Neurospora crassa OR74A: one gene and its partner. The protein of the gene in region 2 interacts with the protein of the main gene of each other region in a pairwise test. Links are inferred from orthologs where the notes say so. Each region holds a gene or a part of one and is shown on either strand. Other genes may lie near its edges.

Region 1 (3,977 bases), on a different chromosome or scaffold from region 2:
CACAACGGCATCTCGGTTCTTGGCTATTTTCGACAAAAAGGAGAGGGCAAGGCGAGCGAGGGCTTAGGCGGATCCCGAACCTTGTTCGTGGCCGAGTTTTGGCGAAATGGGCAATGCCGTCTTTGACATGATGTTTTGGGAATTTATTGAGGCAAACGGGTATCGTGGGGATTCCAATGCTCTGGGTTGGGTCGATGGGGTTTCCGCTGTCGATCAAGCAGACATGGCTGGTATTTGAAGTTTATCAGATGAACCATGTACCTATGCCGTGTGTCTGGACTCTGGAGAAGGTGGTGAAGGAGGTGTTGCAACATTGTATGTAAGTGGAAAGGAGGGTGGAAGAAAACGGCGAAAAGCTCAAGACATTCCAATGCATTTTTGCCGATGATTGGCGCATTTCGGCAGATCCATGCCCCTCATCCGTTTCAGAAAAACCGCTGCGCATACCATTGGGGAAACCCCCCCATGTTCCCCATTCTATTCTAGACTTTTTGTCCCGCTGTGGACGCGCCATCTCTTGCACTTTATAGACGCCGCCAACCAGCCGATGAAGGATGTGCATCGAATCATGGCCGGCGAATGTTTATGGAGTGAACGTGTTTGCGGCCTCACATTTGATCGGGTGGCTTCAGTTGCTTTGACCTGAATATCGACTTTTTGTGTGTGGAGAGAATAAGCACAAAAGAAGGAGGTTTAATTGCATCTCAATGCCGTGGGAGTTCCTTGTTATGCTGTACATAGAGATACGTATGTATATTACTGTACGGCGGGTGAGTGTAACGCAGGAACCTCAAGGGCTGCAACACTGACAGCTGCTGTCTACCATATACTAGTGTAGAGTGAGATACCTAGGTAATGTATGCCCTGTCTGTCATGTTGATAGTAGGTACCCGTCTGATCCCGTATGTAATAGTTCGTGGTGGCCCTGAGCACACGAGCAAGTGCGGTGAACAATGACAAAAGTACGGTAAACAAAGTGCGTGGATTGTGGTGGAGTGATTAGTCTGCTAGGTACCCGCGACTTGACATCGGCCCATTTTAGAGCCTCAGTTAGTGCAGGCTTGGCGTACTGTGTACCCCGAAATCTCTCAGGGGACGACACACTGACCGACCATGGACATTTTGCACTTACAAGCATCAATCATTCTGCACCCAGACTCCTCCCCTCCCACATCACAGACAGACACACACACACACACAATTCGTATCACGACAACAGCAGCAGCAGCAGCAGCAGCAGCGGCAGCGAGTCGACCTGCCCGTTCCTCCAGACCACCTAGGCACCTACCACTCAGACTCTCAACAACAGGTAGTACTGCCAGTGATTCCTGTCTTGTCTTGTCTTGTCTTTAAGCGGCCCTGTTTGCAGCACTTGCCCCCGTCATTGATCACCCATTGTCGACCAGTGGAAAGCGACTGGAGTAGTCGAGCAGCTGTGTGAGTGAGGGGTGTGTGTCTTGTCTCTCTCTCCCTCCGTCCCTCTCCGCCAATTGAACATCCAGCAGCCAGCCAGCCAGCCAGCCAGCCAGCACTTCCACGCACTTGCTTGCTTGTATTTCCGTTTATCAATGGCCAGTCGCTCCGCCGCGTAAACAACAACCACTACCTTGCCTACCTACCTACCTACCTACCTACCTACCTACCTCTAGTACCACACACCACTCACTGCACCCACCACCACCACCTTACTTGTCGCCCGCTCTCGCCTGTCCTTGTGTCGCCGCCTCGTATATTGTCCAGAGCCGGAGCAGCCTGTGCCTATTCCTTGGGTTTCCACCTCCCAAGAAACAACCGAAATGTCGGCATCCGAAGTACAGGAAGGGGCTGCTGCCCCCCACGAGGCGGTCGCTACCAAAGAGATGCCCACGGAGACGGTTCAGGAGGTCACCCACGAGCACGAGAAAGAGGACGCTGCTTCCTCTCCCGTAACAGAGACAAAGGACAAGGACTCCCAGCCCGACCACCAGCGACCAGCCTCTCTCGCTCCCACCAACCTGTCCGACCCAGACGACAAGGACACCGTAAGTCTCCCTTTCCTTCCTCAAGTTACCATGTTACCTGCCCCTAGGGAGGTACAAGGCAGTGCAACCCAAAGCAACAAGAGTACTGTACTATACGAGCGAGTGCTGACCAGCGACCACAATCATGATTATTGCCCATCATGCAGGATACGTTTGAAGATGCCATCGACACAGGTTCCGTAAGGTCCCTAACAAAACGCTCTTCCTCGTTTCACCGCCCGCGCTCCCCATCAATGGACGATTCTGCCGCCGCCGACGCCGACCACGACGCCCGCTCCCACACCACAGAGACACCCCAAGTTCCCAAGACAGCAGAGATCAAGGAAGAGGAGCAGGAAGACGTCTTCGAGACCCCGGCACAGGAGCAGGAAAGCAAGTCGCTACACCGCATCTCGCATGCTTCCAAGGTTTCAGAGGCGTCCGCTTTCTCGGCTGCATCGCTGGACGATGTAAGCCTAAACGATAATTCTACAATTGGAGACAAAACAGGTACGTTGGAAGCTGCACGCACAGCCAAGCAAAACCCACCAGACTGTACTGACAAGGGAACCCAGAAAAATCCCTTGATACGGCGCCTTCGTCAACCAAGAAGCTGTCAATAAGCAGTATAGCTAGTGCCCTGCCCGCCATGCCGTGGTCACCTTCCGCTACCGACGAAGCTGTAAAAAGCCCACCCGCGGCCGCTGCCGCCGCTGCCGCCGCCGCTCCTCCTGCGCCTGCGCCCGCAGCCCTTACTCCGGCACCACCGCCTCCCGTCACCAGAAAACTAACCAGCCCCTTTTCCTGGCTGTCCAGGAGTTCATCAAAGGAGCAAGCCAACCCACCCCCACCGCCAGCCGCCGCAACGGCTCCAAGACGGAATACCGCCAGCTCTGTTGCTACTCTCTCCAGCAACCCCGATGGGACGTTAGGCAAGGTTGACGAGGAGGGCAATAAGAACACTCTCAAGGATCGCTTCAAGCAATTGCGCCTAAGAGAGGAGGGCAGCGCGCCCACGGGAGACGATGACGAGAAGAGCTCTACCCCGGAGGAGAAGGAAGCAGTCCAACCCCCTCCGTCGCCGCTTCCACCAACTCCCAACCCGGCTCTCGCACCCGGTACCGCATCCGGGGTCACTGCTGGCCCAGCGGGCTCCGATACTCCTGTGGACTGGGATCTGTGGCAGACGGTTGTGTACGAAGGTCCCGCAGCTGTTGCTCGGACAAGCCCTGAGCAGTTGAAGGAGGCCATCGCGAAGGGTATCCCCAGCGCCATTCGTGGAGTCATCTGGCAAGTTCTGGCACAAAGCAAGAATGAGGAACTGGAAACGGTTTACCGAGACTTGGTTGCGAGGGGCACAGACAAGGAGAGGAAAACTGACAGGCAGAGCAATGCCTCAATATCACTGAGTAACGGCGGCAAGCCGAGCGGCAAGGATACGCCCTCTTCTGCCTCGTCAGTTCACTCAGAAAAATCTGGGCCCAACGGAACCGGCGCTCCTTCTCCGACAGAGAAAGACGCGGAAGCCCTCGCCAAGGCCCAGGCTCTTGCCGCGGCGGAGCGCAAGAAGAAGGAAAAGGAAGATAAGGAAATGTTGTCGAGGCTCGAAAAGGTCATTAGAAGGGATCTGGGCGCTCGAACGAGCTATTCCAAATTTGCCGCCGCCCAAGGGCTTCAGGAGGGCCTCTTTGGCGTGTGCAAGGCATATGCTCTCTTTGACGAAGCCGTCGGCTATGCCCAAGGCATGAACTTCCTCGTCATGCCTCTTCTCTTCAACATGCCCGAGGAGGAGGCCTTCTGCCTGCTGGTACGACTAATGAACCAATACCACCTTCGCGAGCTCTTTATCCAGGACATGCCCGGTCTGCACAAGTGCCTCTACCAGTTTGAGCGCATACTCGAGGACCTCGAGCCCGCTCTCTACTGCCACCTCCATCGGCGTGGCATCTCCCCTCACCTCTACGCCACGCAGTGGTT
Region 2 (4,278 bases):
TTGGATGACACCAATTTCGTTGTTGACAGCCATGATACTGACGATGGCGGTGTCGGGACGGATGGCAGCCTCCAGCTCCGCCATGTCGATCAGGCCGCTGCTCTTCACTGGGAGATAGGTCACTTCGAAACCCTCGTCCTGGAGATGCCTGCAGCTGTCGAGGACACACTTGTGTTCTGTCTGGCTGGTGATGATGTGCTTCTTCTTGCCGGACCGGCCAAAGAACCTAGCGACGCCCTTGATACTCATGTTGTTGCTTTCGGTGGCACCGCTGGTGAAGATGATTTCCTTGGGGTCAGCGCCAATCAGATCAGCAATGTGTTTCCTCGCCTCTTCAACGGCCTTGTCAGTCTCCCAGCCGTAGGCATGTGTCCTCGAGTGGGGGTTGCCATAGACGTTGGTGAAGTAGGGCATCATGGCATCGAGCACTCTGGGGTCGATGGGGGTTGTGGCCTGCATATCCAGGTAGATGGGACGCTGTCCCTCATCCATCACGGTAGCATTGCTGAGAACATCTAGTTGAGTCAGCAACGAGGACGACTGCGCAATATGTCTCCGAAGAGGTGGGAGGTGATGATGATGCTTACCAGCCATGGGGCTGACGTGTTGGCTCGAGCCATTTTGCGCGCTTATAGTGAGGCCCTGCTTCTCCATCTCCCTGTGATCCAGCTTGATAGCATGCTCGGCCTGCACGTCGGCGTTGTTCCTCTTGGTCTCGGTCACATAGCTCCTGGAAGCAGAAGCAGTCTTGACAGCAGCCGCAGTAGTCGCCCGCGACAGCACACGCGCGCTGCGGAGAGGAGCGGCCGCGGCCAAGCGCGATGCCTGTCGCAAGACGGACGGCGCAATGGTGGACATGGTAAAAGGAAGAAGAAAGAAGGAGAGGAAAAGAGAATATGGTGGTGAGGGTGATGGCGGATGAGGGAGAAAAAGTTCGTTTTGTAACCAAACCTACAAAAACGGATGGAGGCAGCGGGCGGGGCGGCTCAAAACACACTCAGAAATTCAGATGGAGCTGCCGCCTCCCGCTCTTCGGCGGTCGGAGTGGAATTTCCGCCATACAGAAAAGAACAAATCGAAACAAACGGCATCCGCACGCGGACTTGGCCTCGGAGGGGTCGGTGATAAAGGAATGTGCCAATGAGGGGCGACAACCAACAAGGTTTGGCACTTTGATTGGTCATTCTGCCATCGGATGGCCCCACCTGTTTCTTTCTCGGACATCGGACAAGCGCGTATGTACGTACGGCGAAAATGACGCTGCTCCAAAATGTTAGAGAATGGGCCGCCGGGCATGACGGAAACTGAACGCTCGATGTGCACCGCGGCGACTGACTTGACAAATACAGTGCGGAATGTCCACTTGTGAAACGGACTCCGCGGACGCATCTGATCCATCATTGCACAGAAAGGAAGAGCACTGACCCGGGGCAGGCATCCATCTGTTCTCTCAATCGGCATGTCCACTGGGATGAAAGCTACACTACAGCGGGCCCCAGACCCAGTCGGTCTACCCCGTCGTTCCAATTCGTTCCTTTCCGGGGTCTCATCGACCAAAAGCAGAACAACCGATGACGGTACCTATTTACCTCCTCGGTAGTATTCTGTTTCCATTCGCATTGGATGTCTGCGTTGGACTATAACTTGAACCATCAGTGACATGCCATATAACCGCCGACAACCTACTTGAATTCCATTTACACTGCTAAACTATTTAGTAGCATCTTACCTCTAGGACAGCTACCTCTAGCTACTTTACCTCCTACCGTTGAAGACCGAATCCTCCCCGAGGAAGTTTGTCGGACCTCGAACGGAACTGCTGACAAGGGTCCGACCGACGGGATTCAAGAACAAACCGAAATCACAAGACGCCTAGACAAAAAGACTTTTCACACTACATCTTGGAACGAGGTCGCTGTGTGCGGCGTGTCCAACATTCAGCAAATAGCAGCGCCACGCAAACCGTCGCAAGCTTCGCTCAGCCAAGACTTCGTCCACCAGCCAAACGACCTGCACCGCCCCCCTGCCCACCCCCAGCGTCATCACCATCGTATCCGGATCCGACTTGAAGAGGGCACTCGACCACCGATTGCCTTCAACCTCTCCGAACAGCAACCCGCTTTGCGCATCTCCATACAAACACCGAATACACATCAGACATCATACGGCTTCGTAGCAGAATATGAGCTTCAGGGGCTTCCAAAAAAGCGTGGTCCGCGTAGGTTCTGCCCCGCATACCTAGTTGATCTCACCTCCCCTAGTTTCGGTTACAGCGTCATCATCACTTCCGCCCTTCCCGTCGAGTCCCCCGTCTGTGGCAGAAATAGCGCCGAATCACTCGGGTTGGCAAACAGGCACTAACACGACAGAAACCAGGCACCACAACAATTCAAGCAAAAGTTTAACCTCGGCGAGCATACCAAAGACCCTGTCTACATCGACTCGGAGCGCAGATTCCAGGAGCTCGAAACCGAGACCAAACGCCTTCACGATGAAAGCAAAAAGTACTTTGAGGCCATCAATGGCATGCTGCAACACCAAATCGAGTTCTCAAAGGCAATGACCGAAATCTACAAGCCCATCAGCGGCCGCATGTCCGATCCCGATTCGCTCGTTCCCCATGGCAACTATGAGGGTATTGCCGCCTGCGAGGAGTACGAGGCCGTTGTCAAGGACCTGCAGGAAACACTGGCGCCAGAGTTGGAAATGATTGAGGCTAGGGTTATTCGGCCAGCGAACGAGCTCCTCGATGTGATCAAGGTCATTCGCAAAACGGCCGTGAAGCGCGAGCACAAGAAGCTGGACTACGACAGACACCGCGCCACCCTCAAGAAGCTCCAGGACAAGAAAGACCGGTCGGCAAAGGACGAGAAGGCCATGTGGAAGGCTGAGAACGAAGTTGAGCAGGCCACGCAAGAGTACAATTACTTCAACGATCTGCTTAAGGACGAGCTACCCAAGCTGTTTGCCCTCGAACGCCAGTTCATTCAGCCGCTTTTCCAGTCCTTCTACTACATGCAGCTCAACATCTTCTACACCTTGCACGAGAAGATGCAGCACTGCGACATTGGCTACTTCGACCTGACCCTGGACATTGAGGAGGCCTTTTACGCGAAGCGAGGTGACGTCCAGGAGCGGGCTGAGGCTCTCTCCATTGTCAAGTTCAAGACCACGGGTATGAAGCGACCGCCCAAGTACCAACGTCCAGGCGCTCTCGAAGGAAACAAGCCAGCAGGCCTACTTACAGCTGGCTCCTCCACGACCACTTCCACCGGTCCGCCTGAGGCGGCTCCCTCAGTCACAGCCCCACGCCCCTGGGAACAGCAACAACAAGCTCCTGCCGTCACAGCACCGCGACCTTGGGAAACCCAGGCGGAAACAGTAGAAGCGCATGCGCCGCCACCGTATTCGGTGAAGCCGAGCACGCTACATGCTACGCCCGCCTCCTACGCCGCTCCAGTTGCCAGCCCGAAACCCTCGTCGTTGTCCATGGCGGCGGCTGCAAAGGCCAAGCCCCCACCGCCGAAGCCCAAGCCCAAGGCCCTCATGGCGGCGGCACCCAAAGTAGAGACCGTCACAGCGCTTTACGACTACTCGGCGCAGGCGGAGGGCGATCTGAGCTTCCGTGCCGGTGATGTGATTGAGATAGTAACAAGGACTGCGAACGAGAATGAGTGGTGGATTGGAAAGTTGCATGGAAAGCAGGGTCAATTCCCAGGTACGTACTGTACTATTTCTTAGGGTGCTTGCTTTGTTGCGAGCTGGATATGTTCTGACACAATGGTCTTTTGCTAGGAAACTATGTCCAGTTAAACAGCTAGAGGATACAAGGCTACTTGTAAATGTAGTTATCAAAGAGTTGCTTTCAGCACACTTCACTTCTCAGCACGACTTCAACCTATACCCCTTTTTTGTGGACCCGTTCATGGTCGAGTTATTCATTTGCAACCACAACACGGATTCTTTCTAGTTCGTCTACATCGTACCAGGCCGTGACGTTCTGTAGCAGGGCCTTGGTGATCCTATACGGATGCAATGATATGCGGCAGGTGACTCTGTTGAGAATAGTCAGGCAGGAGGAAACTCCGTCGCGAAGGAGGACCTGCGAGGAGCGTGGAGCGAGAGGGTCCCGGGTGTTTGCGTCTAGGGAAATGGCGGGTGTATTGTTTTGGAGCGAAGGAAGCAACGGAGTGAAAAGGTCACAGTGCATTGGGTCAAACCTGGAAGTTTTGATTAGATGCGTTTTGCCATGATCGCCGTCGTGGTTTGTTCCCTTTA

What was found. The genes of interacting proteins can lie anywhere in the genome.
Region 1: the proteins of NCU04637 (region 2) and NCU08499 interact in binary tests that used the Saccharomyces cerevisiae proteins (3 or more experiments, as listed by UniProt). The link is inferred for Neurospora crassa OR74A from reciprocal best matches to the Saccharomyces cerevisiae genes RVS167 and GYP5.

The regions. Positions count from the first base shown.
Region 1 is NC_026502.1:3,459,292-3,463,268, reverse strand, and holds the start of NCU08499 (GTPase-activating protein GYP5), read left to right. Parts: upstream 1-1,174; 5' UTR 1,175-1,796; coding exon 1,797-2,021; intron 2,022-2,167; coding exon 2,168-2,510; intron 2,511-2,575; coding exon 2,576-3,977. UniProt on the Saccharomyces cerevisiae protein: GTPase-activating protein which accelerates the GTP hydrolysis rate of YPT1 and SEC4. Involved in ER to Golgi trafficking and polarized exocytosis.
Region 2 is NC_026505.1:1,375,528-1,379,805, reverse strand, and holds the start of NCU04637 (BAR adaptor protein RVS167), read left to right. Parts: upstream 1-1,466; 5' UTR 1,467-2,182; coding exon 2,183-2,218; intron 2,219-2,376; coding exon 2,377-3,718; intron 3,719-3,795; coding exon 3,796-3,821; 3' UTR 3,822-4,278. Other genes in the region: NCU04636 (cysteine desulfurase), read right to left, coding at 1-515, 588-858. UniProt on the Saccharomyces cerevisiae protein: Component of a cytoskeletal structure that is required for the formation of endocytic vesicles at the plasma membrane level.